Ovis aries: one gene and its partner. The protein of the gene in region 2 purifies or fractionates together with the protein of the main gene of each other region. This does not show direct contact. Links are inferred from orthologs where the notes say so. Each region holds a gene or a part of one and is shown on either strand. Other genes may lie near its edges. The genes, in order: SIRT5 and GLS.

The links.
Region 1: the proteins of GLS (region 2) and SIRT5 purify together in Homo sapiens (affinity purification with western blotting; 3 studies listed by BioGRID and IntAct, with this or other methods). This does not show direct contact. The link is inferred for Ovis aries from reciprocal best matches to the Homo sapiens genes GLS and SIRT5.

The regions. Positions count from the first base shown.
Region 1 is NC_056073.1:42,237,161-42,250,038, forward strand, and holds part of SIRT5 (NAD-dependent protein deacylase sirtuin-5, mitochondrial), read right to left. Parts: intron 10,785-12,878; 5' UTR 10,750-10,784; coding exon 10,635-10,749; intron 8,982-10,634; coding exon 8,848-8,981; intron 7,609-8,847; coding exon 7,383-7,608; exon of another isoform or gene 6,599-7,382; intron 6,513-6,598; exon of another isoform or gene 5,680-6,512; coding exon 5,592-5,679; exon of another isoform or gene 4,816-5,591; coding exon 4,762-4,815; exon of another isoform or gene 4,742-4,761; intron 3,461-4,741; coding exon 3,337-3,460; intron 2,925-3,336; exon of another isoform or gene 2,826-2,924; coding exon 2,710-2,825; intron 1-2,709. UniProt on the Homo sapiens protein: NAD-dependent lysine demalonylase, desuccinylase and deglutarylase that specifically removes malonyl, succinyl and glutaryl groups on target proteins.
Region 2 is NC_056055.1:193,137,479-193,150,356, reverse strand, and holds part of GLS (glutaminase kidney isoform, mitochondrial), read right to left. Parts: intron 9,269-12,878; coding exon 9,172-9,268; intron 8,817-9,171; coding exon 8,695-8,816; intron 4,319-8,694; coding exon 4,189-4,318; intron 3,220-4,188; coding exon 3,140-3,219; intron 1-3,139. UniProt on the Homo sapiens protein: Catalyzes the first reaction in the primary pathway for the renal catabolism of glutamine. Plays a role in maintaining acid-base homeostasis. Regulates the levels of the neurotransmitter glutamate, the main excitatory neurotransmitter in the brain.

The DNA of each region.
Region 1 (12,878 bases), on a different chromosome or scaffold from region 2:
AAGGAGTCTTGTGAAATCCAAATTGAAAATGTAAGCAGAAATAAATAAATACATAAAATGCAGGCATCATTTCCTACAACCTATTTAGGTAACAAATCAGGTGAAAAGGCAGTATCATTTCAATTTTCATTTTTCCTACTAACCTAGAGCTGGGGCTGGCAAAATGTTTTCTGTAAACAGTTAGAGACTTACTGTTTCATCTTTGCAGGCCAGACAGTCTCTGCTGAAACTCTTTACTTCCATTGTTTAAGTGCAAAAGCAGCCACAGACAATATAGGAACATGTGGCTGTGGCTGGGTGCCAATAAAACTTTATTTACAAAAACGTAGTGGGTGAATTCGGAGAAGGCAATGGCACCCCACTCCAGTACTCTTGACAGGAAAATCCGATGGATGGAGGAGCCTGGTCAGCTACAGTCCATGATGTTGCAAAGAGTCGGACATGACTGAGAGACTTCACTTTCACTTTTCACTTTCATGCATTGGAAAAGGAAATGGCAGCCCACCCCAGTGTTCTTGCCTAGAGAATCCCAGAGACGGTGGAGCCTGGGTGGGCTGCCATCTATGGGGTCACACAGAGTCGGACACGACTGAAGCAACTTAGCAGCAGCAGCAGCAGTAGGTGAATTTGGCCTGCAGGCAGTAGTTTGCTGACCTCTGACCTAGGCTAGAGTTCAGCCAACATCTGTTACATCTGAGATGTGAGAAATTTTGGCCTTTGTTAAGATGCGTATTTAAACCAGCTTCTCAGTCACTCTGGGTTTGGTTCCCTGTTTGAAAACCCAAGTAGGATGAGAAGATGACCACGCACGCCTCTTCTAAATGTCAGCTTTGATGACGCCCAGATAAAAGCATCGCTGGCTTCACTGATCGCTGATCAGTTATACTCATCTGGGAAAATTCCAAGACGTTGTGGTATAAAAAGGTCCACTGAGCATCTGTTGCGGTTCCTGCGGTTGGTGCTGTTCAGTTCAGTTCAGTTCAGTTCAGTCGCTCAGTCGTGTCCGACTCTTTGCGACCCCATGAATCGCAGCACGCCAGGCCTCCCTATCCATCACCATCTCCCGGAGTTCACTCAGACTCACATCCATCGAGTCTGTGATGCCATCCAGCCATCTCATCCTCTGTTGTCCCCTTCTCCTCCTGCCCCCAATCCCTCCCAGCATCAGAGTCTTTTCCAATGAGTCAACTCTTCGCTTGAGGTGGCCAAAGTACTGGAGCTTCAGCTTTAGCATCATTCCTTCCAAAGAAATCCCAGGGCTGATCTCCTTTAGGATGGACTGGTTGGATCTCCTTGCAGCCCAAGGGACTCTCAAGAGTCTTCTCCAACACCACAGTTCAAAAGCATCAATTCTTCGGCTCTCAGCCTTCTTCACAGTTGGTGCTGTTCAGATCTGACCAAAGTCTCAGACCAGCGAGAGGCCTGTTTATTTGAACAGAGACACTGCAGGTTTTCAGGATGGGAAGCTGAAGAATTTTTGTTGAAGATGAGTAGCAGCTGATGCAGGTTTGCGGTTTTGGGAGGCCCAACTTATGAAGTGATATCATTACACTCCAAGAATTTCGTCTGAACTTTCAGGGAAAACTGCCAAGTTCATTTTCCTTTCACGTGAAGACGTACACACTGGATGCATATCAGAATCACCCAGGAAGCGTGTAAAAGGTGGGGCCCAGGCTATACCTCACACCAGTTACATTAGAATCTCCTTGGTACCCAGTCATCAGATTTTAGAAAAAAAAATTTTAAGATTTTTTTTTTTTTTAATGTGGGCCATTCTTAAAGTCTTCATTGAATTTGTTACAATACTGCTTCTGTTATGTTCTGGTTTTATGGCTAAGAGGCATGTGTGATCTTAGCTCCCCGACCAGGGGTGGAACCCACACCCGCTGCACTGGAAGGCCAAATCTTAACCTCTGGATCACCAGGGAAGTTCCCAGTCATCATTTTTAAAAATACGTAGTTGAGATAAAAGTCACCGACTAAAATATTGACAAGATGCTTCAGTAACGTTTTACATTTTACTTATTCATATTGATGTATTAGTTCATAGTCTACCTAACTCTGGAAAGGAAATTAGACTCTTAAGAATATATAAAGTACATTAAAAGGGAAGACAGAAAAGCAGGGGTGAAAAAAAAGAAAGCAAAACAAAGGAGATGTAAACTGGAGCCTAGACTGAGACATGTGAATATCCTACAATAATCTATACTTTCCACACAGATTTGGGGGGGCAGGATCGATATCATTAAATGGCCACAAGTACAAGCATTCTTGGCAATAAGACCAGAGAGGAATTTGCCCAGGGAGCCCCACGGAGAACAGTGGGTGATGGAGTTGTATGTGGGTGTCTCCCTGGCTTACATGCTGAGTCTTCAGCTGACCGGCATCGAAAAGCCATTACTATACTTAGCTTCAACGCATGAATAAAAGTAAAGTCTAAAGCGTCAAAGAAGAACTTTCAAAATGTGGAAAACAAAAACCCTACAGCAAACTCCCTGTAAAAAGACATGGCTGCCTCAATCTACAGTTAATGCTTTCTTCCCTCAGTCTACAAATAGCACGTTGTTTTCTTCCATCAAAGCAACTACAGACCAAATAAGAAAACACGAACTCTGTGTTACAAAACCAGGACAGCAGGTAAGATCTGCTTGGATGATCACGTCCAAACCTGCTCAGCGCTGTCCACCTCCCACCCCGGTGACCCCGTACCTGAATCTGTTGGTGGCCGGGGTGGTTTCCGTGTTGAATTCGGCCACCGGCACGCCACGGGCTGACACCTGAGGGGCAAACATGGCCGCGGGATAGACCACGGAGGAAGTCCCGACCTGCAGAGCAGACAAACGGAAGTGCACTAGTGACCACACGGTGGAGAAGCAGCGTCTTTGCAGAAAACCTGCAGTCTGCGGCTGCTGGTGTGAGGGAAGGTAAGCTAGGCGGGATAAATGGAGAATGTCTGGGGGACAAGAGGGGATGGGGAGGCTCCCCTTTGGCTGATCCCTAGAATTTAGGAAGGATTTTTTTCATGTTTAGACACCAAGTCATGTCTGACTGTTTAGAACCCCATGGACTGCAGCCCTCCTGTCTCCCCTTGTCCATGGAATTTCCCAGCAAGAACACTGGAGTGGGTTGCCATTTCCTTCTCAGGGGATCTTCCAGACCCAGGGATCAAACCCATGTCTCCTGCCTTGGCAGGCAGGTTCTTTACCACCAGTTACCTGGTATGAAAAAGAGAGCTTGGGCTTGTGGCAAGAGTGGCAAAGAAATGATCTGATCATCACCCAAATTAGTTTTAGTTGTTTCTGCTCTTTGAAAAGATCAGGGAAGGCTGTGACTTACCACTAGACACAGGTCACAGAGGGCCAGCTCTTTGTCCACCTCCTCCAGAATGGCAGGGTCCAGGTTTTCTCCAAACCACACCACGTGAGGTCGCAGCAGGCCCCCGCATCCTGCCTCTTCACACCTGTAAGAGTGACATCCTTAACCCACTCCCAAGACCTACTCTTGGGAAGGCCTGCCTAGGTGGATCGGCAGAAATCGTAGCCTCTATTGTGTCCGGATGCACTGGGGTGATTTGCTGGCGAATGTGTCTCAGCCAACCTTGACCTTCTTTTTCTAAATAGCTTTCTCTTTCCCAGCTACTTCCTTCCACTCAGGCACAGCCGTGCTCACGGTTAGCTGGACCCAGGAGGACTACTGGACTCAGATTTGCCTTCAACACACAAACCACTTGCTAATGTCATCAATGACTTCCCTCATCTTCTCTCAAATTCACCTCTCTCTTGCCTTGTTGGTAGCCAAGTTCTCCTGTGTCAATTTCCCAAAATCTCTCATCTTTCACGAGCTACTAACCTAGGTCATCTCTAGTCAACGTATTTATGTACATTCTAAAATAATCTCCCTCAAACTCCATTTTCATCATATTAATTGCCTCATCAAGTTTATTTTAGATCAAAACTTTAGAATTTAGTCATGAAAACTTACTCTTTTAGGTCAAAACTCTGATTTTAGTAATGAAAATCCTTATTAAGAAAAATTCAAAAGGTTCAGTAAACCAGGGAAATGTAAGTGTAATTGCTCATTAGGGAGTAACAAGGTACTTTCACACATTCAGTGCTCTGAGTAGCTCTGCAGCGAAGCAAGATGCTTCAAACTTGGTTCACTCTCGTGGTTCCATATTCATCTGGGCATGTGACATCTTTTTTCTCCGAGTAGTGCCTACCAACGTCACACGGATCTACTGCCCTATGAAACGCTTTGGGAAAGGCCATTTTAAGGTCAAGTTTTGAAACACTGACATAAAAATCTTTCCAAGTTTTTTTGCTATTGTTAATCTGCACAAATTCTGCTCGGACCCATAACTTTACCTCTGTGAGACCTCTTACGGCCTCCATAGCCCTGGATTAGTGACACTGATGAGGAGGAGACGGGGAGGAGGACAGTAGCTGAGGCTTCCTGACCAGTTAGGTCCGGGATGCCAGCCACGCTTCACACACGCAGGGTGAACGTCTACAACCAGCGGCTTCTGAGACGTTCCAGACCTCAAATGATCCCACCACAACACAGAGGAGAAAGGGACAGGACAGATGTACTTCTCTTAAGCCTGGTTTGGTTCACCCTTTGTCCTTTCACCCTTGACCTCATGGGTCAGGGCTGGTTTCTGCATTGGCATCTTTCAGAGGCATCTCCAAGTGAACTTAGATTTGGACTCCTACTAATTTTCTTTTTTTTTTTTCAAACACAGATCAAAGTCTTTTTACTCACCGGGGCAGTTTCTCCACTGGAATTCCGGCATCTTGAGTTTGGGGGTCTGGAGCCCTGAAGTAAATAATATTAGAAAAGGAAGAATGTTACTGATGTAATCAAAGAACAAAGAAATAAGATAACCCAGAAAGATTGTCTCTTTGCCTGGCCATCTATGGCACAAAACCTCTGATGAATACACACTGGCTTACAAGAGGATGAGGAGGGTAGACACAAACAATTGATTATCAGTGGTTCTACCTCAAGCGAGGGAATATGTACGGGAGAGGGGGTGTAGTACTGTTGTGCTAAGGAGAGTTTCATGATTTGCATCATATATGTCACTGCGATTTCAATCATCTGCAATGATATTATATTAATAAGTTACTTGTACAACTTATACCAATGGCTAGGTAGAATTTTCCTCAATATTTTGAGTCTACTCTTAATTTTTCCCCCAATTATACTGTTTACAATAGTAAATGTTCATCATAGACATGTTGGAAGGTTCAGAAAGATGTAAATCAAAATTGCCATAATCCTGCTGTCCCTGTTAATATGTTGTTGATTTTCTTCTGGACGTTTATCTACATACAGATACGTTAACATGGTGAGGGTGGATGTGTGTTTAAATACAAAGCTGGGATAATAATGTATAGAGTTAGAGCCTGTTATTTTCACTTACCGTAACCTATGAGCAAAATATTTCCCTTACAATATAGCTGCACTGTCTCTAGCTTTGTCTCATAAATATCCATGGGAGTCATAGACGAATGTTCAATTTCTTCATGTTTATAGTCAACTGAAGAGGCAAAACAGCACACACCTATTCCAGAGTGCAGAATACTCACCCTTTTCCCGATAAAGCCGGACAAATTGGACTCTTATAGTTCTCAGCCACAACTCCACAAGAGGTGCATCGAGTCTTAAATAAGCTGCCTGAAAAACCCAAGTTGAACAAGACCGGAATTTAGTATGATCGGGAGCAACAGACTCCACGTCTAAAAGAGTACAAAATGATTTAGTTTCTATGCATCACTTTAACAAGTGCACCCATCCCAGCTCTCATGGGAAACCTCAGGGCATGTAGTGAGATGGAAAAAGCCAGAACACATGCCCTCCTGGACTTCGTAATCAGGAAAGGAGAGAGGGACAGGAAGTAAGTTACTGCGTGACCAAGGAGCTCTCTGATCACCCAGGTGTTCAGGTGGAATCCAAATGTGCAACGGGGTAGAAGAAGACAACCTAAGCCTAAGGGCAGGATTTTCTGAGAATACGCCTGATGTAGGCTCAGTAGCTTGGGATATGTTTTACAAAATCTTAATATTGACTTAGTAAAGCTTGAATCTTTTCTACAAAAGCAGCTCAATAAATAATCAAATAACAAATGAAGAAAATAATCATTAAAACTGGCAAAGACTTACTGAGTTAACCCATAGAAGGTGACCTCAGTTCGCTACATAGTCAGCGTTGAGCAGGTCACACAGCAGGGGACACACGCTGGTCCATTCTCTCCAGGCCTCCTCCTTTGAGAAACCAACCCCCTCCTCTGTCCCATGCCAAGCTGATGGAGCTGTCAGTCACATTCCCCAAATACAAGCTGGGGCACAAGTTCCAGACTGGTCTAATTGTGGCATCCTGTCCCTCCAGCAGTAGTGTTTGGCCAAAAAGGATAATGAGGGTCAGGCCATCCAGAGATTTATCTTCTGAGGAGATGGTTACGCTGGAGGAAGGGAGCGTGGAGCCCCACTGGGTCACTGCTTCTGGAAATTCTGCAATTTGAAATGCATTTCTTTGGACTGAATTTTCGTAGACTATTAAAGGGCTTCTATGGATGGCTCAGCAGTAAAGAATTTACCTGCAATGCAGGAGATGCAGGTTCAGTCCCTGGGTCAGGACAGTCCTCTAGAGGAGGAAATGGCAACCCACTCCAGGATTCTTTCCTGGGAAATCCCACAGAGGAGCCTGGCGGGCTACAGTCCAAACGGTAGCAAAGAGTTGGACACGACTGAGCAGCTCAACACAGCGTCACAGACTATCCAATGCCCTTGGGAAGAAATTCTGGCATACCCATTTATGCTCTCGTGTGAACAAATTCATTAGATTTTCAGTGAGAAGAGGGAAGAGGAGGGTGTCAGTGAAAGCAGAGAAGAGAAACCAGAGGGACCCCAGACAAGCTCCTCGGTGTCACCAGACCCAGTGGGCTCCCAGGAGGGAAGGTCACTGAGCTGGCAGCCCCCTTAAGGCTCCAGGGTGGAGAAGGAACACAGCCGGAGCAGACAGGGCCCACGGTGCAGGGGCAGGGCAGGGAGAGTAAATGGACCTCCCAGGGATGCCAGGCCTTCGCAGCCTGAATCCTGCTAGAGCCCCAGCTGTTCAACGGCCCAAACCTCCCGCTTCCCAGCGCCCAGGTGGGGGTGGGGTGGGGACCACCTGGGAGCACAGGGCCCCCGCAACAGGACCCCCGGGGAGGGGAGAGCATGCAGGGATGCAGACCGGCTTTTCCAGGCCAGGCAGTCTGCACGCCAGACCCTGGGGTCCTGGCACCATGCTGCTTTGACTCGGTGGACCCAGCTGGGCCCCAGCAGCACATGTGTTTTCTGGTCTGGTTTCCCCTCCCATGAAGACCAAGGGCCTCTCACCATGGATTTCCAGAAGGTTCCTGGTGCCAGCCTTGCGGTGCAGCTCGTCGATGTTCTGGGTTATGACCACCACCTGTCGGCCCTGCCTGTGCAGCCGGGCCTGGCACTCGGCGATGGCCAGGTGCCCAGCGTTGGGCTCCTTGCTCTGCACCACCTCCCGCCGGTAGTGGTAGAACTCCCACACCTGGGACGGGTTCCGGGCGAAGGCCTGCGGCGTGGCCAGGTCCTGGGGGGCAGGCAGGAGGCAGGAGTCAGGGGGGAAAGAAGGGCTGATGCTCTGGAAGCCGGGCCGCGGGGGCATTGGACTTAGGTGGGAGGACACTCCCAGGTGCCCTTGGCTGTGGGCAGCAGGCACACAGTTCCAGGGGGTGTCCTGGGAAGGTTCACATGGGCGGGGCCCCGGGGCTCCTGAGGGGCCCTGGAGAAATTAGGTTTAATTTCCCCAGCAAGATCGTAACCCGTCCCATCTTCTACTCAGGTGAGCTATGAACATAGAGCAACACATGGGAAGGTAACTTAGGCTGGAAGCCACGTTTTCATGGAGCTCCACGTGACATGATGGCTATCTCATTTATCCAGGAAAAGTAAAATGCAAAACGCCCAACTGAGCTATAATGGCCATAGTAGGAAAACTCGGGTTTTTATAGGTCCACACACACATACAACTACACATTAAAAAAAAAAAAGTTGTATATATTATAGTAATAGGATATATAAAATACATATTTTTAAAAGTACGATTCCTCCAAACTTCCCTGGTGGTACAGTGGATAAGAATCCACCTGCCAATGCAGGAGACACAGGTTTGATCCCTGATGAAGGAACAAAGATCCCACCTGTGCACAGCGTAGCCAAGATAAATAAATAAAAATAAATAAAGTAAAAAAAAAAAAGAAATGTTATACATCTTGACTGTGGTGGCAGCTGTACCACTATATATACATCTGTCAAAACTCACTGAACTGTACACTCAAAATTGGTGATTTTTATTGCATGTATATCTCAATAAAAATGGAATTTTAAAAACTCCATGCCCCCAGAGAACTTATATTCTAATGACCTTTGTACAAAGTTTTGAGCATCAAGGCCTAAGCCTTTAACAACTCAACACTGGTTTTCATTTGGAAAGTTCACAGGAACTTTTTAAAAATGTGTAATTCTTAATTTCAACATGAATAGAAAAGTAATGAATTGTGCTAACCAAAGTTTCCCGGTTCCACTTTGGTTACTAGAGGAAATCCAGTTGCTATCTGAATAAGGATAATCAATACACGCCGAGAAAGAAAGAAAAGAGGCAGCTTTTCTGAGGTTATAACCCTATGGACTTTGTGTCAATGCCAAAAAGAACAGGCTAAAAGGGTCACAGAAAATTTCAAAACATTCCCCTCTGATAGAGATCCTGAGTCGAACTGTTAAACGGCTTCATTCAGAAAGAGCTTTTCAGAGCTCTGGAAACATTACCAACCTGGGCTTTCCATTTTCTCCAGTAACCTCCCTCTCCTCTGAACGTCGGAACCCCACTCTCAGCACTGATGCCAGCCCCGGAAATGACGACTATGTGCTTGGCTTTTGCAAAACACTTCCGGAAGTCAGCCATATCTAAAGAGAGGAAAATCTTGGTCAATCCAGTGTTTCATTTGGACATTTACGTCCCAGTTCAATTGCTTGTATTTTGAAACTTGACCTTGCATGAAATTATACTTTTAAGATAACCAAATAAAAATCTTCCCATGCGATGAAGATGGCCCTATGCACCTTATGTGTGAGAGTACGATGTCTGCAGAAAGGGGCGGGGGTCTGGGGTGAACAGCCCGAGCTCTGAGCCCCAATCTGCCCACTCCCCACCCCCACCATCTCCCACGAGTGGGATCCTATGTGAACTGCTGACCCTCTGCTGTCTGGGTCTCCTTAGCTGTTTCATGTGCACAAGCGTGCTTTCCTGAGAGAGCGGGGCTGCTGGGAGGATTAAAAAAGGCTTCCCAGCTGGCGCAGAGGTAGAGAACCTGCCTGCCATGCAGGAGACGCAAGAGGCGTGGGTTCAACCCCTGGGTCGGGAAGATCCCCTGGAGAAGGAAATGGCAGCCTGCTCCAGTCTTCTTGGCTGGGAAATCCCATGGACAGAGGAGCCTGGCAGGCTACAGTCCATGGGGTCGCAGAGTCGAAACTGACTAAGCGCACACACACACACACACACACACACACACACGAGCGCGCACGTGCACACATACACACACACACGAGTGGGAATGTATCTTCCTTCTTAAAAGTAAAAGCAAGCTTGTGTGGTATGAGGGCTGACCTCAGGCCCACTGGACCCCAAAGGCCGTCCCTTCCTCCCCAAATTCACTTCCCTTGGAGGATCCTGCTAATTCCAGTTTCCCTCAGCATCACTACCACGGTGAGGACGAGGGCCCCTCCCCGTGAACAAATGCTCCATCCCACTCTGGACACACTCTCCTCTACAGCTCCAGGGAGACTTGGTCTTTTTCACAAGACGGCCCCGGAGACCTGGGGTAACGGAAAGGGACTGAACGCACAGAATGACTCGGCAGCAGGGAGTCGTGGTCACAGCCCGCAGCGTGTGCCCCAGGACACAAGGGCTGGCCCTCCATCTCCAGGCATCCTCCTGCCCAAGCTCAGACCCACGGGGGCAGCAGCTCGCCTTCCGTGAGGGCTTCCTGTGTCCAGGCTCTGCACCGAGCACTTGGGCATCACAAGGTGGCCTGAGCCAAATATCATCATCCCAGGATAAGGATCAAGAGCCAGAATGGGAACTGCCGTTGTCTCTCCTGCAGCGGAGACTCGGTCCTGGCACCGCCTGTGGCTCCCACTGTCCTGGGCGCTGCAGCTCTGCAGCCCTCGCGCGCGGGATAAGGAAAGGTTGTGTCCCAGCTGGCCGGGCCTGAGTGGTTCACAAGCTGTGGGAGCCCCCTCCATGCCCACGCCGGGAGAAGCCAGTGTGGACCCACATTGCCTCTGGCTGGCCCAGGCCACCCAGTCAGGGTCTGCTGGGCACAGGCCACCTTCCAAGTGTAGCCAATCGGTGCTAAGGCACTGAAGGTTTGAGCAAGACCAGAAGCAGGCTCCTCAGTTGACGGAGCGGGCTCTCTGGTCTCCCCAGGAGGCAGTGGCGACCAAGGCTAACTAACTCTTGGACCAATCAAGCGCCCCTCAGACATGAAAGCAGTGATGGAGAGAAGGAAGGGAGTGGGCTGCAGAGGGAGGTGATGGCACCGTGTATGAAAGACCTACTTGAACTTGGACGAGCCATTGTTAGGCAAATCTTGGTTTGTGTGGAGATTGGAGACTTCAGTCCACAGTACAGCTGGGAAAACAATCGGTTCGGGACGATCCAGAGAGGTGGCATCAGGTTTTCTGTGTTGCGCTAACAATTGAGATGGACTTTAGAAAAATCACAAAACAAACAGAAACAATCAGAAAACGTTCATATTTCTACAAATACACACACACACACACACACACACACACACACACACACACACACACACCCATATGGGCTTCCCAGGTAGCACTAGTGGTAAAGAACAGGCCTGCCAATTCGGGAGCTATAAAGAGGTGTGGGTTCAATCCCTGGGTCCGGAAGATCCCCTAGAGGAGGGCATAGCAACCCACTCCAGTATTCTTGCCTGGAGAATCCCCATGGACAGAGGAGACTGGTGGGCTGCAGTCCAGTCATGGATGGACATGAGTTTGAGTGAATTCCGGGAGTTGGTGATGGACAGGGAGGCCTCGCATGCTGCGATTCATGGGGTTGCAAAGAGTCGGACATGAATGAGCGACTGAACTGATTGACTGACTGACTCTTAAGTGCTCTGAGGTGCCTAGTAGAGTGGTTTACAAAGTATGGTTCCCAGACCAGCATCATCCCGAGATCTCATCAGAAATGTAAAGTCATAGGCTCCACTCCAGACCCACTGAACCAGGAACTCTTCAGGCAGGGCCCCCATCTGGCTCCAGGTGATTTTGATGAACACTCAAGTTTGAGAACCACAGCCTTAGAGGTTTAGGAAGGAGTTAGATGGGAAAATTCATTTGAAAAACAGGTTCTGATACTTTTTTAAAAAGGTATGAGAGCCATTGGCTTGACTTTGAGTCAAAATACAGTTTCTATGAGGATGTAAATTCTAACTGAGAACTGAACGAGGCCGGAAAGATATGTACCGTAACAACAAATGGGATTAAGATGAGATCATGTCAAAGAAATCTGTGAGCCTTAAAGCACACTGACTAAATCTTTATCTATCCCTGAGGAGTTAGACAGGGATAACGGAGAAAGACAAAGACACAGAGAAAGGCAATATTCACATCCATGACATCAAAAGGGTAGCTGACATATCTGACTTTTACCTAGTGGAAGAACGCAAATTGTTGGAAGAACTCAGGATTAACGTTTTGTAGGTACAGGAAAAATAGAAAAAGAACACATTTCCCAACATTTTACAATCCCTTTGGAGGACAACTTACCAAAATTACAAATCCACTTGCCCTTTGACCTAGCAATCCCGTCTGGACATTTTTACAACAGTGAGACTCACACACCTTCAACGTGACGTATCTACAGAGTTGTTGTTTGGAAGAGTCTAGAACAACCTACATGACCATCTGCAGGGGACGAGTTCAATAAACAAGGACACATTCACAATACACAGCATGGTTGCTGTAAACAAAGAATGCATGTATGATTCTTCCTGTATGACATTCTAGAGTGCAAAGAGTACTTATTTGCATGTGTTTAAAAAAAAAAAAAATGGTCCCAAGACATTAGTAACAAGAATGAGGATGAGAATCAGAACGTATGGAGATGAGAGTGGAAGCAAGGATTTTCAGCAGATGTGTTTCTATGCATTGTGAGTGCTCTCCGGCAAAAGTCTAGGGACACATCTGTAGCTGAGCAAGTGCAAGGAGGGAGAAGCTCACGGTGAGGGGCTGCAGGCATACTGGTGACATATTGGTGACTTTGGTGGTGGTGGCTTAGTTGATAAGTAGTGTGTCTCTTGCAACCCCATGGACTGTAGTCCGCCAGGCCCCTCTCTCCATGGGACTTCCTGGCAAGAATACTAGAGTGGGTTGCCATTTCCTCCTCCAGCGGATCTTTCCAACGTAGGGATTGAACCTGAATCTCCTGCATTGCAGGCAGATTCTTTACCAGTGAGTCACCAGGGAAGCCTGTCTTGATGAAGTTAGGACTCAGAACAGGATTTGGGCTTGTGTTGGGTTGGAGAAGGAAATGGCAACCCACTCCAGCGTTCTTGCCTGGAGAATCCCAGGGATGGAGGAGCCTGGCGGGCTGCCGTCTGTGGGGTCCCACAGAGTTGGACACGACTGAAGCGACTTAGCAGCAGCAGCAGGGAGAGTCATGGAAGGAGGCTCTGATCTACACTGGATGTTGTCTGGGAAAAGTTTCCTTTTATTGGATATTTCAAGGAACATGATCTAAAGAGGAGGGAGTGAAGTAAAGCTTGAGCTGGGATTGGT
Region 2 (12,878 bases):
CAGGTCAGGAAGCAACAGCTAGAACTGGACGTGAAACAACAGACTGGTTCCAAATAGGAAAAGGAGTAAGTCAAGGCTGTATATTGTCACCCTGCTTATTTAACTTCTATGCAGAGTACATCATGAGAAACGCTGGGCTGGAAGAAGCACAAGCTACAATCAAGATTGCCGGGAGAAATATCAATAACCTCAGATATGCAGATGACACCACCCTTATGGCAGAAAGTGAAGAGGAACTAAAAAGCCTCTTGAGGAAAGTTAAAGAGGAGAATGAAAAAGTTGACTTAAAGCTCAACATTCAGGAAACTGAGATCATACCATCTGGTCCCATCACTTCATAGAAAATAGATGGGCAAACAGTGGAAACAGTGTCAGACTTTTTTGGGAGGAGGGGCTCCAAAATCACTGCAGATGGTGATTGCAGCCATGAAATTAAAAGACGCTTACTCCTTAGAAGGAAAGTTCTGACCAACCTAGATAGCATATTCAAAAGCAGAGACATTTTGCCAACAAAGGTCCATCTAGTCAAGGCTATGGTTATTCCAGTGGTCATGTATGGATACGAGAGTTGGACTGCAACAAAAGCTGAGTGCCGAAGAATTGATGCTTTTGAACTGTGGTGTTGGAGAAGACTCTTGAGAGTCCCTTGCACTGCAAGGAGATCCAACCAGCCCATCCTAAAGGAGATCAGTCCTAGGTGTTCTTTGGAAGGACTTATGCTAAAGCTGAAACTCCAATACTTTGGCCACCTCATGCAAAGAGTTGACTCACTGGAAAAGACTCCAATGCTGGGAGGGATTGGGGGCAGGAGGAGAAGGGGATGACAGAGGATGAGATGGCTGGATGGCATCACCGACTTGATGGACATGAGTTGGGGTGAACTCCAGGAGTTGGTGATGGACAGGGAGGCCTGGCATGCTGCAATTCATGGGGTCACAAAGAGTCAGACACAACTAAGTGACTGAACTGAACTGAAACTGGTTAGTTTTTAAATGGGGCTCAGTTTATTCAATATCGTTCTGTGAGCCCCTCTCTAAAAATGCCTCTTCTTGTGAACCATATCTATTGATAATTTCTAGCCCCAGTAAAACAAATAGCATCCAGTTTTACAAACTTGATAGAATTGGCACCAAAGGCAATCATTTCACCATGGAGATAAACAACAGAACAAAAAGAAAGCTTTTTATGTTACCAAACTGCTAAGATGCAGATGAAGTACAGAACTGTTTTGAAAATGAAAAAATTGTGACTGACCCCAAGAGCGGCAATCTCTGTTTAATTTGCTCAAGTATCCCAGGTGTCCCAATCAATGAGCCAACACAATACAGGCACACATTCATTCTAGTGGAATGTATTCATAGTGAAACTGGGCACTATAATAACTACCCCTCGACAATCAGAAGTTAATGGAGACATCAGAGGGACACCTCACTTCTAGAGTATATTTTTCTTATCAAATTTATGAATAGCTTGTAATTCAGCCTGTAACTTCAACTTGGCAATCATTCTATTACCCGACAAAAGCCTCTCTTACTACCTTTGGATTTAAAAATACCTACGATCTAGTCCAAAGCCTTGTCTCAAAATTTCTCTGGATAAGAAGGCTAAACTAAAAGAATCACCTATATGTACAAAATATGTTTAAGAAGAAAAAGGACACGCATGAGAATTAGCTAATAATAATTTCCTCCAAATATAAAAATTTCTACTACATGATAAACCATTTCCTCCAAATACAAGAAAACAGGAATACCACTCCCTACTGGAATTTATTCCATAGGCTAAGCCATGTCTTCTCATGAATTCGTGTCTGTTCACGGCACCCAATATTTAATAAAACACATGAGTGTTTAATTCATTTCACAGGCCCAGATGAGGATAAAAGTATGTCATAACAGACAGAATAATGGACTAGAAGTTTAGAGACCTAGGTGCTAGTTTCACCTCTGCCAGTTTTATACAAATTCTGGGCCTCAGATTCCTTATCATTAAGTATGAATGAACTAAATCACATTTTTTAAAAAAAACTGTAAATACTTGAGAAAGATTAAGTAGTAAAAAAATAAAAGTATTTATTTTCTAATATATTCTGATAAAAGTATTATTAGAATGAAGGCACTTGAGACATATAAAAGCTTTAATTGGGATATTATGAGTTGTAGTTTTAACAAAATTTAGGATAAAATTATCTAACATAAATTTACCAAGCTATATACACCAAGGAGTTGTTTATCTCATTTTATGTAAGTTATATTTCAATGTAAAAAGAAATAATTACCTTAGTAAAAAGCAAACAAAAAACCAGAATGATTTTATTTCTGAGCTGAAGTCTTTAAATGAGTAGAAAATATGATTTTCTTTTTTTGGCATAATTTTTCTGACTGACAAGACCAAACTGCAACATAATAAATCTTTATGTCTGACTTACAGCATAATAGAAAGGTCATTCTTTAAAAAATATTTCAGAACTTTGTTCATTTTTCCAAGGGCCTCTCTTGACTGACTTTTAAAATCAAATTATTCTCTCTGAGGTGCCCTCATATTTTTATCCTTTTTAAAATTCTGCTGGATCCTTAGATGTCAGTGATTATACCTGCAGTGTGATTATATCCTGAAAATCAAATTTCATAGGCTTCATGAAATCCTGTATCTTTTGCAAATGACTGATGGGCAAAAGACCATACATTACATTATATTGTCTTAACTACCATGCTAATCATATAAGCAGCAAGAGGAACAAAAATGATGACAGTATGCGTAACCAATGTTAAGTGAAGAAAGGTGAACTAATTCTACTAGTGGTCAGTTCATTAGTGAGTAATTTCATATTTTGCCAAATCTATTTTTCCTAAGCAAATCTGTAACTGTAGTTCCTTAAACAATAAACATTCAAATAAAAAGACTACAACTGTGAATAATGTAGCTGAAATGCCTCATAAAATATAGTAAAAAGTATTATTTCAATTGAGTTTTAAAAATTAAACTAAAATTTAAACTTCTCTGCCTTCTTGAATTCATGTCATCTCAAGAGGGCTAATTACTATTAGAGAAGATACTCCTCTCTACCTCATGCTCATTGTTATGTAGTGAGCAAATTTAAGTTTTAGAGCTGGTTTTGACGAATCTGAAATAAACTTACCTCTGTCCATCTACTGTACAAACGGATACACCCCACAAATCAGGGCTGAACTTAGCTAGTTGAGGAATATAATCTGCAACCTATCCAAAACAGTGGAAAGAAATCAACAGATAAAATATAAAATATTCTTTTCTATCAAAAAAATTTATCTTAATTTAGCTTCCACTAATGAACATTTTATAGTACTCAGTGGCTTTGTAGTGTATCTTTTATAACAATATTCATAAAAACTAAGAGCATAACAGACTTGAGGATTACAAGTGAGATCTAAGTGACCTCTCAGAGTCTCTGTCACCATCTGTTTTCTATTGCATTCTCTCTTCCTAGAAAAAAACACAGTCTAAGAGGAACTACGAATTAATTTTTTTTTTAAAGGGGAAAAAAACAAAATTTATTTAATCAGGGTCATGATAATAGGGTTTCATAATCTAAAAACTTTCAATATCGAGAATAAATAAAATAGCCCTTATATTATGCAGAGGATTTTAAAAACTGTAAACATTTTATTTAACATTTGAGGATATCATACCTACAGAAATTCCCAGGAAGTTATTTTTTAATTAATTAAAAATATAAAGGGTCACCTTAATTGTTTGAAAATCAAAAATATTTCTTTTTAATGAAAATAACAACCATAATATTTGAAACATTTTAAAAGCACTTAAAAAAAAAATACAAAAGCACTAAGCTTCCCTGGTGGTTCAGACAGTAAAGAATCTGCCTGCAATTCAGGAGACTTGGTTCAATCCCTGAGTCAGAAGATCCCCTGGAGAAGGAAATGGCTACCCACTCCAGTATTCTTGCCTGAGAATCCCATGGACAGAGGAGCCTGGCGGGCTACAGTCCATTGGATTGCTAAGAGTCAGACAAACTGAGCAATTTAAACTTCTGTTTACTTCTGTTACTCTAAAAGAACTTAATCCAGTGGCTTCACTTAAATTTCTTACTTAGCAAAACACAAAACCACGTAATTTTAGTCTCTACACCTCAAGTTTAGCTAAATTTATTCAATTATTGGTTTAGGAAAATATTCACGTCAAAAACATTACCTTTCCTCCAGACTGCTTTTTAGCACTCTCATATAATTCATCGATATGTGAAGTAAAAGACATAAAGTCAGGAATGACAAACTTTCTTCTAAAGGCTTGTGTCAACAAAACAATGTTGCTTTGAACACATCTGTGGAATATAAGAAAAAATTAGTACTTGCTAATAATAACAATATTAGGAAAATACTCAAACAATAAAGAAATTCAACATTTTAAACAAATTCTAGAAATTATACTCTTTGTACATTATTTTCTTTCCTCCAAGCACCCTTTCATGTAGCTGCTTGTAAGCTGTTGAACAAATTAAAGAAATAAATTAGATAGCCTAAAAACTGCATCAAAGACTAAAACAACAGAGCATTCCACCAGGTTAAGTACTAAGACCATCTAAAAACAAGACTTTTTCACCTACCAGATATGATAAACATTCAGCATGACATCTGGTTAACAAAAATCAGACTTTAATATATAGCTGAGATCCTTTTTATTTTTTCCATGAAATAACCTCAGACCTATGTCCCTTAAGAAAAAACTTCACGAAAAACTAAACATTCCGTATTTTAACATATTTTCTATAAATTAATTATGAAAATGTTGCATTTCTAAGCTAAAAACTTTGTTTAGTCAGATTTGTCTCTAACATAAAATACTTATTTAAATGCTTGCAAAAATAATGTTTAACTTTAAAAAATATGTATAATAGTATAATAATTTTATATTACTTGAATCACCAAAAATATTTACATTATTCTATGCACTGTTAAGATGTGTAACACACTGTAGAATAAAAATGTTTCACTGTTAAAAACTATTTAAATGATATGGTAAACCATGTGGATGGCAAAGCATGAAATCTAATAATTTGAATCAATATTCTGCCTTGTTTTAAAAGAGTTTAAGCTAGAAAATCAATTTATTAATATAACCCTAAAGAAGAGTTTTATAAATAGGTTAATAGCAACCATATACTCTAAGCTCATCTTAAGTGAGTCTCAGAAGCTCAAAAATAGAACAGTTAATCGATAAAGGAAGACACTGTAGACTTGAGCATCAAGCCGTTATACCAACTAAGACTAAGCCTGTAACAGACTAAAAAGTACTAAGCTTCAAGTACTATTTATCCTGTTTAACCCTCAAAAGATGAACCCTTTAAGAAGGTAATTTCCCCATTTTACAGATAAGAAAACTCTGTGTAACCTGCAAGTAAATACATGCACTAACTATAAAAGGAGAGCTGGAAAATAGACACTCTCAATTTTTCAGTCCATGGTAAATGATAAGTTTTTATCTCAGTATCTGAATTCAGATGTTCTAAATGAAATAGCAAATTAGAATTAAAAGCCAGATATCACATTTTAACTATCGACAAAAATCCAGAATATATACTCACTTGATCAACATAAAATTAAACACTGATTTAAAATAAAATAGGTTATTTTCAGTGATAAACACATGCTTTAATTACAACATGAAAAAGTTATAATCCTAATTTCCATTATTAATCTATACATGTAGAAATAACTGACATCTAAGAGATAATATTTACTTCAATAAACCAAAAAATTTTATGATAGTTTCAATGTTACCTAATATTGAGTTTTGTCACTGACTTAATATTTAATATGCATCAAACAGTAATTCAACTTGCACATGAGAGTTACAAGTAATATATAAGAAAGACATTTCTTAGAAGAAAAAACTTGATAATTCCTGATCTTAAATGGCTATTCTGTATCAAGTAAAATCTACATCCTCCTTCTTTCAAGAACTGTTGCATGAGAAAATATAAGGACTGTCAAACAAAAACTATTAACCTTACTACTATTTACCTATTCAAAATCAATCAGCATTTTTAAAAGGAGGTTTTATACAAAAACTGTACCGTCAGTGAAACTTGGATTTTTTTTTTTTTTTTACTCTATGAGAAGGTGCTGGTAAAGCCGTGCTAACAGCCTTCATTGGTGAATTACTGTGGCCAGTCAAGGCAATATCACTCAGAAGAGTGTCTAGCTGCATGATGAGGAGCATTCTAATCTGTAATTTTTTCTTGGGAGTTATTTTAATATGGATGTCATGAATCTAACTAGAAAATCAGAAGTCATATAAAGTAGAATGAAGAGTAAGTGTTTTATGATTTTCAACAAGTGACATCTTTCTCATGCTTTCTTTGTTCAGTTTTCTCATCCTAAACTGGTAAAAATAATTTTACTTTCCATTTTAACTTAAATGTTTATGATTAACAACTGTTATGCACATCTGTTTTATAGAATATTTCAAATATAATTTCTCATTAGTAAAATAACATAGTGGATAAGAATTTTCAAAGAAAAATCAAATAAATACAAAGACTATCACTCATTTTCTCCAAAACAAGATGATAAAAAAATTATGATCACACATGATAATACTTCTAATACTTACATGGCTAAAAATATATGAATAAATAAAGTATTCCTTTTCAACACAAATTTTCTACTTCTACTAAGACTATTAGCATTAAAATCAATCGAGTATCTAGATAGGTATAGGCAGTCTCCAACTTTCAAACAGACTATGCCCCAAAAAGTATGCATAGAACTTATTTTCCCATTTAAAGAAAAATTCTACATGCTTCTCAGATTACCCTCAAAGGCTGAATATATATACTAACAAGGTATTTTAGGTAAAATGTCAACACATTGACTTCAACCAAACCTTTTCATCTTTCTTTATAAATAACTTCTCTGGGAAAATGAATTCCATTGTAACATCTGCTTTTCCAGTTGCATGAAACTGAGATAGTTTATTTCTGGCAACACTAACTAGAAAACTTATTTTGAAAACAGAGAAAATACTTCTCTGAAGCAATCACCTTCCCAGGTGACCTGAAAAGGTTAGCGGTCAGAGGTTTTGAATCTCATTCTAGGAACAAAAAGAGAAATCATATGCCTATAGACATAAACTTTTCCACTGCCTGCTCACATAGACTACTAAGCATCTGTCAAGTTGGGAACTGCCTATATTACAATCATCAGGTTTTTTTTTTTTAAATTGGATTAGTGTTTAAAATAACGCTAATTGTTATTTTTAATACAGTAGAAAATTTTATGCTTTTCTGGTTGCTCAGTGTATTTAAATTAGTTTTTCAAATTTCATATTTAAACACAATAGTATGTTTATGAAGCACAAAAAAACCTTAACCAGTACTGAAAAGATATAAAATACTGCTTTCATGTAGGAATTCAAAGCAATTCCTCATACCCACAATCAATATACCTATATACCATGTCTTTGAATCAAGTCTGACAACTTTATTTTCAGATATACCGAAATAACTCCCCAGAAGGCACTCTGCACAGAGTTCATGATCACTAAAAATAAAATAATCTTACTGCAAAAATACAGCTAACTAGAAATTATTTCCTTCCCTTTACAAAGAACAGGTTCAGAAGACCCAAAATTCCTAACATCAATTCCAACATGAACCTAAAATCTACATTTTATAAGGTCAGCAGAGTTAATAGCATCAAGAACCATGTGGTGAAAAGACGGAGATCTAAAATTGGCAGCACTCACTGCTTCATGGTATGCCAAGACACTTGGAAGGATCTCAGTTAAATACTTATACCTTCAGATGACTTAATATTCTAGGATACTTCAGCAGATATCTAGAACAAATCATCTAGCCCCCAAAAGACAATAAAATAAAAAATATATAAAAATACATACATACAAATAAACTTTCAAGGTAGATGCTGGAATTCTTTTCAACCTAAGCTTATAGTCAGGAAAAAGCCAAGGTTTAACAGTAGTGTTTACAGTTTTATTTTAGTTCTCACTCAAGTTCAGTTGTAAAATACCATATACTTCCTTGGGTTCCATGACAAACTTGTCTATCAAATTATTAAGCAATCAAACTAGTAGGAACACATTAAAGAAAGTAAAGATTGGCAAATATAGGAAAATAAAAATATTCTCATTCAAGCAAATCAAGGCATTAATGTCCAAAGTTAGCATTAAGTTTTTAGATATTCTGAAAAAAAAAAAAAAAAAGCCTATGCAGTAAGCCTATGTTTGCTGCAAGAGAAAAGCAGACAATGGAGACATGTAAACCTAATGAATGCAGGCTGCCTTCCCATTTTATGATGTCATCTAAATCAACTTGTAGAAAAGAAACAGAGACCATGCTGAGAAAGGCTGCAAGATATGCAGATGAATTAGAGATCAATTTAAACAGGACAGAGTGTGTTCCATTCAAACTGAATGCAATCTCCAGGTATTATTAATTGAAAACATCCATGGCTACATTTCCTCAGAACAGTTTCAAGGTATACTCTTAGCCCCAGTATATTACAGAACTTTAATGTGCACAAAGTTGTTCTAAGCAACTGATGTTCATCAATGCCCTCCCCTCTTTTTTCAATTACACAGGAAGCACTGGCTTTCAAAGATGCAATTTTGTTCTAAAAGAAAAAAACACCACATAGCACAGCAAATGACCATTAATGGTTTGGCAGAAATTTTTACTTTTTAAAAAGATCTTTGTCTAGCATGACACCATCTGATGTTGTTTGAAGAGTTAATCTTAACATATCCATACACTCTTTCAACCTGGGATCAGACGTTCGCAATCCTGTAGATTTGAGTGCCTGTTTTTAAAAAAATAAGAGTCTGTAAATACATAGTGCAAATAATGTATATGCTTATTCCAACTACAAGTTTTTAATTCCTGTATTTAAAAACTTCTACCCAAGACCTGAATACATATATATATGGCATTTTAGTGTCACTATTACCCTCTTTCTGGAAAAGTTTTTCATTGTTTCTTTCATTTCCTTTCATTGATTACCTTGAAATGAGCATGATGAAAATTTGAAAATAAGAGAAATAGTGTCAGTCAGAATCTACATGTCAGATGACTTTAAAACTCCATAGCAATATCACCATATATTGATTCATATTACTGATTTTTAACAGTTAGGATAGAAAAATGTAAAAACTTACTGTAATAAATTTATGAACAGGTATTTTCTCTTGTCCTTCTGCAATTGTATAGAACAGCAAATCTTCCAAACTAGGTAACAGACCCTGTTTTATTTTACTAAAGAGGAAAAAAAAAAACACAAAATTAACTCTTATGTGAACTTTCAAGTAGATTTTAGCTACATCCATTTAAAAATAATCAATGAAGCCGATTACAGTTGATCGATTCCTCAAGACCTACTATCATACCAATAAATGCCGATTTACCAAAATCAAACAATATTACTGAAACCACATTGAGAAGCACGTTTAAAACATGTTCATTAATTTACACAGATATTTTGTAATCCTAAATCATCTGTTATGGTGATTTCTTCCTGTACAGCCTAATATACAATCACCCAATACAGCCTAGAAAATGTTCAGGTAAGAGTCAATATTTCATTGTTATCATTGTTTTTTTATAGGATGATTATACATATGTAACGGAGAAGGCAATGGTGACTCACTCCAGTACTCTTGCCTGGAAAATCCCATGGATGGAGGAGCCTGGCAGGCTGCAGTTCACGGGGTCGCGAACAGTCGGACACGATTGAGTGACTTCACTTTTTCACTTTCATGCACTGGAGAAGGAACTGGCAACCCACTCCAGTGTTTTTGCCTGGAGAATCCCAGGGACGGGATTCCATGGGGTCGCACAGAGTCAGACACAACTGAAGAGACTTAGCAGCAGCAGCATACATATGTAAAACATGGTTATGGTTTAGTTGCTAAATTGTGTCTGATTTTTTGCAACTCTATGTACTAAAGCCTGCCAGGCTCCTCTGTTTATGGGATTTGCCAGGCAAGAACACTGGTTTGTCATTTCCTTCTCCAGGAATCTTCCAGACCCAGGAAGTGAACCCAGGTCTCTTGCATTGCAGGCAGATTTATTACTGACTGAGCTTTGAGGGAATCCTTGAATATAACACATATATTATAGTCATATATTTGTTATAAACAGTTATATAAAGATATAGTTCAAATAATTAACCTGATTGTAAAATCTGTGGAACAGAGTAATTAAGAAAAGCTTAGTGTACAAGTTCTCAAGCTATAATATTTACTAGTCAAGTCACCTTGGGTAAACTAACTTTTCTGTGATTCAGTTTCCTCATCTGAGAAAGAGAGATGTGAGTTGACTTAACACATTCAATACCCTCAGTGCCCTGCTTGGCAGAAAGTACTCAATTGTCAATAGTTGTAGTGACTATTTCTAAAGTGACCTAGGCTTACATATACACATCAAATGCCACAAATCATAAAGACTGTTAGAATAAATGTTACCATAAAAAATATATTTAAACCTTAATTAACTAATAAACTGGTATAAGATGCTGCTGCTGCGTTGCTTCAGTTGTGTCCGACTGTGTGCGACCTCGTAGACGGCAGCCCATCAGGGTCCACCATCCCTGGGATTCTTCAAGCAAGAACACTGTGGAGTGGGTTGCCATTTCCTTCTCCAATGCATGAAAGTGAAAAGTGAAAATGAAGTCGCTCAGTCGTGTTCAACTCTTAGCGACCCCATGGACTGCAGCCTACCAGGCTCCTCTGTCCATGGGATTTTCCAGGCAAGAGTACTGCAGTGGGGTGCCATTGCCTTCTCCGGGTATAAGATGCTATGATTAACCAAATTAATCGAGAAAAAATTTTTTCCTATTCATTGCAAAGTTTTGAGATAAAACTATAATGAACCTATAAATATTTTCTTTTGGGGAGCTCTGAAACTGAAATGAACACAGCTTAATATTCTGAACATTCATGACTGTCATATGTATTATAGTGATAAGAATTATAGATCTAGGGTAGACCAATCCCCTCCCCACCCATCACTATTTTTTAAAATCAAAGGTACAAATATATGCATGTATTTGTATGTATGTGTATATAAAATGTCTGGAAAGGGCTTTACCTTTATTTCAAGAAACAGAAAATTAGAGAGTGGTCCATATATTTCTATTTTAAAAGACAACAGAATACAGCGTCGGCTCACAGTGTATGTACATTTACACATGCACATATAAAATTCTCCTCAAAGAAACACTAATGTTGGCATTAATGTCACTTATACTGTTTTCAAAGCTATCATACCAGCTTCTTGTTTTTCAAGTCAACCCTAAAGTACAAGAATTTCATGCCAATGTTTTAAAAAAAATAACATATAGGATTATTGTAATTTAAACATATATCCTGGATATATAATTACTCCTTAAAACAATCTTGGCTCTTAAGAGAAATTTTTAAAATATATTTGGGATATTTTAATTATAAGAGTTAAAAATTATGGATAACTTTTGTTAAGTATTCTGATTAGCTATTTTACATGCGTTCTAGTTCAATCCCTACAATGATGACAAAAAATACTATTATGCAAAATGAAGTATGGTTCCTGGTACAGAGTGGATGCTCAATATATTTACTGTTTGACCAAAAAAAAAAAAAAAAAAACCAGGCTGACTCTGTCCCCATTTCTCAGAGGCTCAGACTGGTCAACAAACTTTCCAAGACTGCACAGTGGTAGAGATATATTTAGAAACCTTGTTCCTCTGAATTCAGAGTCCAAAATATATGCCTCTACAGTTTTGCTGGCTCTCAAACCTACTAGCTAGTAATTACTGTTATAAGGTATGATTTTTCTAGATCTTCAATCCTGATCTAAAACCATTAAGCAGCATTCAACAGTACTGATGACTTAATATTTAAAGAAAAATTGAGCCAGCTGTCAAAAACAATCAGTGGAAAATAACATACCAATTATTTACAGAAAATGGCTTGTTAAGTAAACTTCAGATAGTGGTAGTTATCACTTTAAAAAACTGCAGAATAAGCTTTCCATGTATTTACAACACCAGTAAATGGTATTTGCTTTGCCTAAAAGCTATGTAAGTAACATAAAATATACAGTTCTTTAGCTTATGGTAGATAGGGCAAAGAATTTAAAATGACCATGTTTATAGACACAGCTAACATAAAAGGCTAAATATTTACTTACTTTTGGACAAGAGAGTAATTGTTATCCATTGGAGAGAGATTTAAGTCATCCCTAGAATACTATGCTCACAAAATAAATAATAAATATAAATGTATAAAAGAGTTCAAAATTGATTTTAAAAAAAATCTACCAATCTGAGCATTTAAAAGCTCAGACTCTGATCTGAAAATGAATTTACTTCAATAGTCTGGGGAACAAATGCAAAGGTTCTCCCCAAACTTTCAACTACACATAAATTACCCCAAAGACCTTTCCTGATATTCCCGCCACTTCTTTCCCCAGGATTCCCTGGTGGCTCAGATGGTAAAGAGCCTGCCTGCAATGCAGGACACCCAGGTTGAATCCCTGGGTCAGGAAAATCCCTTGGAGAAGGGAATGGCTATCCACTCCAGCATTCCTGCATGAAGAATTGCAAGGACAGAGAAGTCTGGTAAGCCACTGTTCATGAGGTTACAGTGTCAGACACAACTGAGCAACTAACACTTTCTTTCCCCAAATTTAATACCATTTTGTGGCACTGCTTAATGATATTATACTTCACCACTGAAACTCAAATGCTAAAAACTGTAGTTTTTGGAATATATAGTAACTAGGATATTTTTGAGAAGTGTTTAAGTTTTAATGACCAAAAAAAACCAGATCATAACAGGAGTATGCCAAGACTGCGTATACTGTCACCCTGCTTATTTAATTTATA